2 linked regions of the Daphnia pulex genome follow. The protein of the gene in region 1 interacts with the protein of each later gene in a pairwise test. Links are inferred from orthologs where the notes say so. Each region holds a gene or a part of one and is shown in the gene's direction. Other genes may lie near its edges.

Region 1 (4,250 bases):
TCTTGTGTTCCTTGATCTTTTTAAGGATAGTATACTTCCTCCTGAGAGGCAATCGGTGACTTTTAGCGCCTAGAGAATTTAAAAAGGAAAATATATTTGATATTCTTAGGATTATACAAAAGAAAAAAACTCTCGAATAAGTGCGAATACATAAAGTGAATGATAAATAACATACGTAATTGTTTCTTCATTTTAAAACTGCTTGGTGACGAATGTTCAACAGCGCACGTGGCCAAGTAACACTAACAGAAAAGCTAGTGGACTAATGAGCAGACGAAAATCAATTTTTGACATACCGTTGTGAACTACCGATGCTGAAGCCTTTTCTGACCATAATTTTTCTTCCTTCATTATTTAAAATTTTAAAAAATTCTGACTAAATTTTAAGGGTTATTTGTTATTGATTATGTAATACAATTCGCACGTTAAGCAGAAATTTTTTCTTATTTGTCAATTGTCAGTTCTTAATAGGCTTGAATTTTAAAATAAGAAGCAAGCCAAGAACCTGAAAGACTAGAGAAGAAAGCAAAAGCACTTCCAATTTCTAAAGAATGACAAAACAACTGTTGAACCAAACAAATTTATTGACTCTGTAAACAATCTTTGGAAACAGTAGTTGAAACTGGTAAAGGGAATAGACTGGAAGGTGTTTTGAAATCAATGCTGATTACATCACTAGATCTCAAAAGAGATTGTTTACAGTTCCCCAAAGGAGTTTTTAGGCCAGAGACATGAAAATATTTTAAATCAGCACTGGAGCATTCATATTGACCAGTAACTGTAATATTTTCATGCATAGTGAAAACAGCTTCCACTCCTATAAATAGAATAAATAACAGTTAAAATACAATTGGGTTATGTTATATAAAGCTTTGATTACCATTGAGTTTGGTTAGTGTTCGCAGAAAGTGTTCTCTTAACCAGACTCGCGCTTCTTCATCTGATGACATTCCTACTCGTATTCAGAGCTCGTATTTGTTTTTTAAGATTACAAAACGACCGGCAATCAGGTTCTCAGGACGATCATCTGCAATTTACCAAAACACAATAAATATTGACTGATACAACTAGGCTATAGTGGATTATAAAACTAATCACCAGAGTTTTTTTATTAATGAAACAAATACTTAATTAGCTAAAAGCTCCAATGAGAAGAACAATACACCAATACCTTGTAAATTTGAAAAAGTATCAAAATATTCGCAATCAGAACAGACGAACTATTTACTCTTGGTTGCCACACCTCCTCGCTACTTTGTTGTGATTTCTCAAAACGTTTCACGACTGACACTAAAAATCATAAAATAAGTCTATTTTTAAAACAAATTTTTTTTCAAGTTAAAATAACGAGAGATTCATATTTTTAATAGATTATTATTTTTGTTAAAGTTTTTCCTGGTTACCATGCCTTTCTTTTGAGGGCATATGTGGTCAGCTGTTCAGTTCATTTTTTGCAGGGTCTGGTCTTGACAGTTTCACTCATGGCTACCGTCCTTCACCAATCCTCGTGAAACCTCTCGTTTATTTTCGCTGCACCCATCGTTTTTAACTGTTACAATTTCCCTCCTTATTAAGCACTGGTTAAGCACTCGTTTTAATTGATACCATAAAATGGAAGTGGGTAACGTAGAAATTTTAAACTTGGAAATCGAACGGTTGACGAGAGAGCTGGACCAGACGAACAGTGAAAAAATCCAGTCCGCTCAATATGGGATTGTTTTACTGGAAGAGAAAGAAAATCTTCAACACAGATGTGAAGAACTTGAAAGTCTCTTTGAGAACGCTCGACATGAGTTGGCATTAACCCGTGAGGTAACCTTCTATGCTTTTTATTTAAATGGATTGCACCATCACATACCTTGTGCTATCACCCTGTATATCTGTTTAGTTACTCTACATTGAGTTCTTATGTTTTATACATCAGATATTTTTTCTTGATATGTCTTAATAATTTGATGTAACATTATGTATACAGGCACTTGCTCGCTTCCAGAATAGTCACAAGGTTACAACCAAGAGTGGCATAGAAACCGAAGAATCTCTTTTATATGAATCAGCTGCAAGAGAAACATCTCTCAACTCTCAAATCCTTGATCTTGAAGCTGACACAAAGCATTTGCGCCTTGAACTGGAAAGGGTGACAGCTGAAAGAGACCAACTCACTCAACAAGTAAAGTAAAATAATATGCAAGTCTCACTTGTGTAATTATATTTTATTCACTTTTGAATTAGTTAAATGATACTGGGAAAGAGAGGGAAGTCTACATTTTTGAACGAAAAACTTTAAAAGCTGAATTGAAAGAACTCAAATACAGAGAGACCCGCCTTCTTAGTGATTACTCAGAGTTGGAGGAAGAAAACATCAGTCTTCAAAAGCAAGTGTCTGTGTTGAGGTCTTCTCAGGTAATGTTGAAAATGATTTTCCTTCCAGTATTCCATTTAACCAAATATTTTTGGCTAGGTTGAACTAGAGGGAGACAAACATGAACTACGTCGATTGCAAGAAGAACTCGAGCTGCTCAATCAACAAAATGCAGAGTTGGCGCATTTGCGAAAATTAGCTGAAAAACAGATGGAAGAAGCATTAGATGCCCTACAAGCTGAAAGAGAAGCCAAATATGCTATCAAGAAAGATCTTGATGCAAGAATGACTAGTGAATCCATGTTCAATTTGAGCAATTTAGCATTCAGCATTAAAGGTAATTGTGAAACCAATTTTTATTTAATTTATGTTTCTGTCATTTCCTTTTTTGTATTAAAGGACTATCTGAAGAACATGGGGCAAGTGAAGGTGAAGACGACGGTCCACTGTTGCAAAAACTTGAAGCCTCATTCCTGAAAACTGGTGGTGTAACCAATGACGGGACAGAAGGGGGCGATGGGAACAACAAGGGTGGTGGAGATTTGTTTAGTGAAATTCACTTGAACGAAGTCAAGAAACTAGAAAGACAGCTAGAACAAGTCGAAGCGGAAAAAGGGATGTTGTTTCAACGTCTACGAGATGCCCAAGATTCCTCCGATGTTGCCCGACACGAAGCAGCATCCAGACATGTTCAACTGGCCAAACTGGATGCGTATTTGGCTAGCCTACTTCACCTTCACGAAACTGTGGAAACTCCTACTAATGCTTCGGTAAAGCTATTTTCTATTTTTTCTGATTTTTTTTTAAGGTTTCAAATGATTATTTTTTGTTTTTCGTAGGAAATTGATCGGACACCATCAGAGCCGTCTTCTGCTCCTGGCAAGTCTACGTATCTTCAGCAATTGGTTGATAAATTCAAGCATCGTACCGCGCTGGCTGTTAGGGAACTTCAGCAAGCTCAACAAGAATTATGGGCTCTCCGAGGAGCATCTACCGGTCAACTACCAACTGATATGGAACAAGATTTCATCGCGTTGAAGAAGAGGGTAATTTTTGTAATACCTTTTTAATTAGACATTTACTCACCTTTTCGTGTAGTTGTTAGATACAGAGCAAAAAGTGTCAGTTCTTCACTCTGAAATTGCGGCCTCCTCCGAGTCGGCTGGTGATAGTCGAGCTACATTGGTAGCACTTCAGTCTGAACTATCTCCTCTTGTAGATGACATCACTGCCCTTACGCTACATCTGTGTGCTGCCGTAGGCATTCAGGCAGGATCAGGGTCCCATGCAGGAATTATCCGGAGCTCAACTGGTAAGTAGAACTTAGTTAAAATGAATTTGCTTTTGAATATTGACTTAAGATTCAACAACTACAATAGATGCTGGCAGTGGACCTAGTAGCTTAGCTTCGGATGTCGCTGGACCAACCTCTATCGGTTCCGAATACAATAAGGAGAACATCTCACCAGAATCCAGTGTTACAGTCACTTCTCTTCAAAATCCTACTCGACTCTTGCACATGCTTCAAGAGCAAGTTCGTCTGTTGCGCCGAGCTGCTGAAATGCTGGTCAAACAAAGCCACACCAAAGACACACCCAACGACTTGGTATCAGACAAGGATCGAGACAACTTCGAGTCAGATGTCGCTGAACTCCAAGAACAAATTGTTAAGCTCAAAGGTATATTATTGTCAAAAAGTATTATTAGGATTATCAAGTGTAACGGGAAACTTTGTTTTTGCTTCAGCTTTGCTCTCAACCAAAAGAGAGCAAATTGCCACTCTACGCACTGTCGTCAAGGCTAACAAACAAACAGCCGAAGTTGCACTGGCAAATCTTAAGTCAAAATACGAGACAGAAAAGTCGATAGTCTCTGAAACGATGAACAA
Region 2 (4,602 bases), on another chromosome or scaffold:
TGCGGAACGTGAATTCGACATGATGCAACAAATGAACGGACCCCAGAGAGGTCGACGGTCTCAGCATCACGGCCGGAACAATCGACCAATAACTACAGCTCCCGGGTCCACTCGTCCCGGCCGTGGAAATAACGCGGAAACGGAAATGGGCCCCGGGGGCGGAGCGATCGATTACCCGCCGTCGACACCCACCAGCCCCAGTACGCCGAAAACGAACGATCCCAACGCCATGGAGAGCGGATTCTTCAACAACAAATATGCCGATGATCAAGCGGACAACAACGGCCGGAACAAAACCGATCATCCAGCCGATGCCGTCAATAAATCGGTATTTATTCGTCAAGTCAATTCAATATTGATCACCAACGCGACAAAAATTGTGAAATCCCTCTCCGCATTGTCTACGACTTTGAAAGGGAGTCGATAGAAATCGCGGCGGGAGCGACAAGCGGCACGACCGTTTGGAATTGGAATCTGATCTGGACGGAGTTGAAGGCAAGGAAATGATGCGACCAATGGCTCATCGTTATTCCAACCGATCACGTAAGTTGGCTGGGTAAATAAATAAATACCTTCTTCTTTTATCATGGGTGGGTGTCGGATGAGTCAGTGGATATTTGGAAGCGAACAAAAAACAAGACGACGTCTCTATCTTAGTTAGAGTGTCGAGAACTGCCAGAAAAGAATTAAGGCGGTTTTTCATCTAATCTAGTTTTTCCTTTTTTTCCTTTCTTTCTTTCTTCGGTGGGTGGCCGTGGGTTGTGACTCGATCCGTTTTTATCGATCCTCCCATTTTGGTGACGTAACAATGACGCACGCACGTAGCTGGAACGTCTGGAGCTGGCAGCGGCAGCGGCGGCAGTAATCGTCTCAGCCGACTGACGGAGCAGGAAGAAGTCGACTACGATGACGATTACGTCTACGAGGACGACTACATCGACTCGGAAGAAGAAGAAGATGTCCATCACAACAAACCGGTGCCCATCTGGTTGAGCATTTTACTGGTGGTCGGTTACATCTTTGGCGGGGCCTTCCTCTTCAGCGGATGGGAGCAGTGGTCCTTCCTGGACTCGGCTTATTTCTGTTTCATTACTCTGACCACAATCGGTTTTGGCGACTTTGTTCCGGCGCAAAACGTCAAAGAAAACGTCGAGATCAGCATTGCCCTCTGCTCACTTTACCTGCTCTTCGGTATCGCTCTGCTGGCCATGTCCTTTAATCTGGTCCAGGAAGAAGTTATCAATTCGGTTAAATCCGTTGCCAAACGATTGGGAATTATCAAAGATGACGATGATGAGGATGACCGATAAGAAAAAGCCAAGCTGACCACAATATTAAAAAAAAAACATAAACAAAAAAATACAGTCCACACACACACACAAACTTCTTAAATATGATCAGTTTCACTCATTTTTCTCTATATTTCTTTTGTTGGTTACATTTTTCCTTTTCTCTTTTTGCTATCTCGTTTTGGTGAGTGATTAATAATCTGTGCGTTGCTGCGTAACGGTGAAATAGATCATCATGCTCATATTAAAATCTGTTCTATAATTTCGATTGTACATTTAATTTTCTTAGAATTATATTTGGCTTTTTTTTAAATGGGGGCGTAATGATTTTAAAACATTTAAATTTCCTTATGTCCACGTCCCGCCATATAGTAACTTCACGAAAGGGGGCGGTTCCAATATCAAATTCACGCGCAAGATAGATCCAGAATAAAAGTCGCAATCCGTGAAATATTTATTGAAAATATCGGAATTGGAAACAATTTTATGAATTAACTAGTCATTTAACGCATATTTATAAGTATCTATTTGTACTTAAATGCACATTTTGAAAATTATTTTTGGAAAAGATGGCGGCGGTGGCAGCGGACTAGCGGATGGATACACAAAATTCTGACTTGCGTTGGCAAAGCCGTGTTTGATAGGGCCGATTTCTGTAACTTGTGTGACAGCACTCTATCCGTTCGGTTTCTCAGGAGGCTATTTGGAAAAAAGTCCCGATCTAGAAGAGTTTGTACCTTAGATTGTACCATCAGACCGTCATAATGGCGCAGATGTTACCCATCAGGTTTCAAGAGCATCTCCAGGTATTTTTTACCTTAATTTTGATCATTGTTTAAGTAAAAACCTTTATGGGTTTGACAGCCTGATTGTGGCCGGCCAATGACTCACACCGGCAATTCATTTTTTTAACGGATTGTACGGCTTTTCCGGTCCTGTAAAATGGCTTAAATGACGCACCTGCTTTTTTGGTTTCGTTTCAAGTATGAAACAAGTATATCGTTTAATAACTGTTGCAATGGGTATCAAGTGACATATACTTGCCAAGTCACACCTTTCGCAATCAATAGTTTTCAGCCATGATAAACGAGAACCTGATTTCACAAAATTTTTTCCAATTTATTTTGTGTGGCTTGAAGACTGACCACTTGAATTTTAAAGCTGTAATTGAGGTTGTCTGCATATGTAAGGGTTCCATAATCAATACTTGTTATTTGCAAGGAAGTGTTCTTGTTTCCCGATCACACATTTATGAGTGCTTCTTTTTTCACAATTTACACAGCTCACAAGTATTGGGATCAATGCCGCCAACATTGGATTCAGCACTCTCACCATGGAGTCGGACAAATTCATCTGTGTCCGAGAGAAGGTGGGAGAAACAGCACAGGTGGTCATCATTGACTTGCATGATCCAACCAACCCTATCAGAAGACCGATCTCTGCAGATTCAGCCATCATGAATCCAGCCAGCAAAGTGATTGCTCTAAAAGGTAAGTGTTCTTGAGTAAGTAATAGCATGATGGGTGTATGATTGTCTTTTTATGTTGACTTTTATTAGCTGGAAGAACCCTCCAGATTTTCAACATTGAAATGAAGTCAAAGATGAAGGCTCACACCATGACGGAAGACGTGGTGTTTTGGAAATGGATTTCTGTAAATACCATTGCCCTAGTCACCGAGGGTGCCGTCTACCATTGGCCCATGGAGGGTGATTCGCTTCCGCAGAAAATGTTTGACCGCCACTCCAGTTTGACAGGCTGTCAAATTATCAACTACAGAACGGACGCCAAGCAAACGTGGCTACTTCTTATTGGCATATCCGCCCAGCAAAATCGCGTCGTTGGAGCAATGCAACTTTACTCTGTCGAAAGAAAAGTCAGCCAACCCATCGAAGGTCACGCTGCTGCCTTCTCACAGTTCAAAATGGAGGGAAATCCTGAATTCTCTACCCTGTTTTGCTTCGCAGTCAGAAGTGCTCAGGGCGGAAAGGTAAACATTTAACCATTGTCGTCATTTCGATGAGTTTCAATCTTTAAATTTCCTCGCAGTTGCATATCATTGAAGTGGGAACGCCGCCAACCGGAAATCAGCCTTTTGCGAAGAAAAATGTCGATGTTTTCTTCCCACCCGAAGCCCAGAACGACTTTCCCGTAGCTATGCAGGTAAACTCTTATTTCCTTTCATTTAAAAAATGAATAATTTTGTACGCCGCAATAGAAACGTTTGTGAAAAACGATCGAATGTACTTTGACATTGTGTGTTTATTGTTAAATGTTGTTGTTTTTAGGTCAGCCCGAAACACGACGTACTGTATTTGATTACAAAGTACGGCTACATTCATTTGTATGACATGGAGACTGGTACCTGTATCTACATGAACCGAATTTCGGCAGAAACTGTATTCGTCACCGCCCCACACGAGCCCTCTTCGGGTATCATTGGGGTCAATCGCAAAGGCCAAGTATGTTTTGGTTTTCTTTTTTGTATTCTCCAGTGTTTTGAAAGTGTTGAAATGTAATGCTAACTTTTGAAAATCAGGTTCTATCTGTCAGCGTTGACGAGGATACCATCATCCAATACATCACGACGGCCATGCAAAATCCGGATCTTGCGTTGCGAATTGCTACTCGCAATAATCTTGCTGGGGCTGAGGAACTTTTTGTCCGCAAATTCAACACACTCTTCCAGGGTGGACAGTATGCCGAGGCCGCTAAAGTACATCTACCTTGCTTGTCGTATGCTTTGTTTGGTTTTAATGTTAGATTTATTTGTACCTAGGTTGCCGCCAATGCACCGAAGGCCATTCTGAGAACACCAGCCACAATCCAGCGCTTCCAAGCAGTGGCCGCTCAGCCAGGCCAAACTTCCCCGCTATTGCAGTATTTTGGAATCTTGTTGGATCAGGGACAGTTAAACAAATTTGAGTCCTTGGAACTATGTCGTCCCGTTCTTCAGCAAGGTCGCAAGCAGCTGCTAGAAAAGTGGTTGAAAGAGGATAAACTTGAATGCTCTGAAGAGCTTGGTGACTTGGTGAAACAGGCCGATCCTACTTTGGCCCTATCGGTTTACTTGCGAGCGAACGTGCCCAACAAAGTTATTCAGTGCTTTGCTGAAACTGGACAGTTCTCCAAAATTGTTCTGTATGCAAAGAAAGTGGGTTACACGCCCGATTATGTGTTCCTGCTACGTAGTGTCATGCGCATCAGTCCCGATCAAGGAGCAATGTTCGCTCAGATGCTGGTGCAAGACGATGAACCGTTAGCCGACATTGCCCAAATTGTTGACATTTTCCTTGAGCAAAACATGGTCCAAC

What was found.
Region 2: the proteins of protein bicaudal D-like (region 1) and clathrin heavy chain 1 interact in binary tests that used the Drosophila melanogaster proteins (3 or more experiments, as listed by UniProt). The link is inferred for Daphnia pulex from reciprocal best matches to the Drosophila melanogaster genes BicD and Chc.

Annotation. Positions count from the first base shown.
Region 1 is NC_060027.1:4,510,275-4,514,524, forward strand, and holds the start of protein bicaudal D-like, read left to right. Parts: upstream 1-1,347; 5' UTR 1,348-1,611; coding exon 1,612-1,812; intron 1,813-1,975; coding exon 1,976-2,170; intron 2,171-2,232; coding exon 2,233-2,403; intron 2,404-2,461; coding exon 2,462-2,699; intron 2,700-2,761; coding exon 2,762-3,132; intron 3,133-3,201; coding exon 3,202-3,408; intron 3,409-3,460; coding exon 3,461-3,674; intron 3,675-3,741; coding exon 3,742-4,041; intron 4,042-4,108; coding exon 4,109-4,250. Other genes in the region: guanine nucleotide-binding protein-like 3 homolog, read right to left, coding at 1-69, 176-191. UniProt on the Drosophila melanogaster protein: This protein is essential for differentiation. It may play a role in localizing of Nanos (a maternal determinant) activity in oocytes. Functions redundantly with BicDR.
Region 2 is NC_060017.1:1,777,802-1,782,403, reverse strand, and holds the start of clathrin heavy chain 1, read left to right. Parts: upstream 1-1,750; 5' UTR 1,751-2,053; coding exon 2,054-2,095; intron 2,096-2,571; coding exon 2,572-2,779; intron 2,780-2,847; coding exon 2,848-3,278; intron 3,279-3,337; coding exon 3,338-3,451; intron 3,452-3,576; coding exon 3,577-3,750; intron 3,751-3,827; coding exon 3,828-4,004; intron 4,005-4,067; coding exon 4,068-4,602. Other genes in the region: TWiK family of potassium channels protein 9-like, read left to right, coding at 1-328, 417-543, 826-1,310. UniProt on the Drosophila melanogaster protein: Clathrin is the major protein of the polyhedral coat of coated pits and vesicles.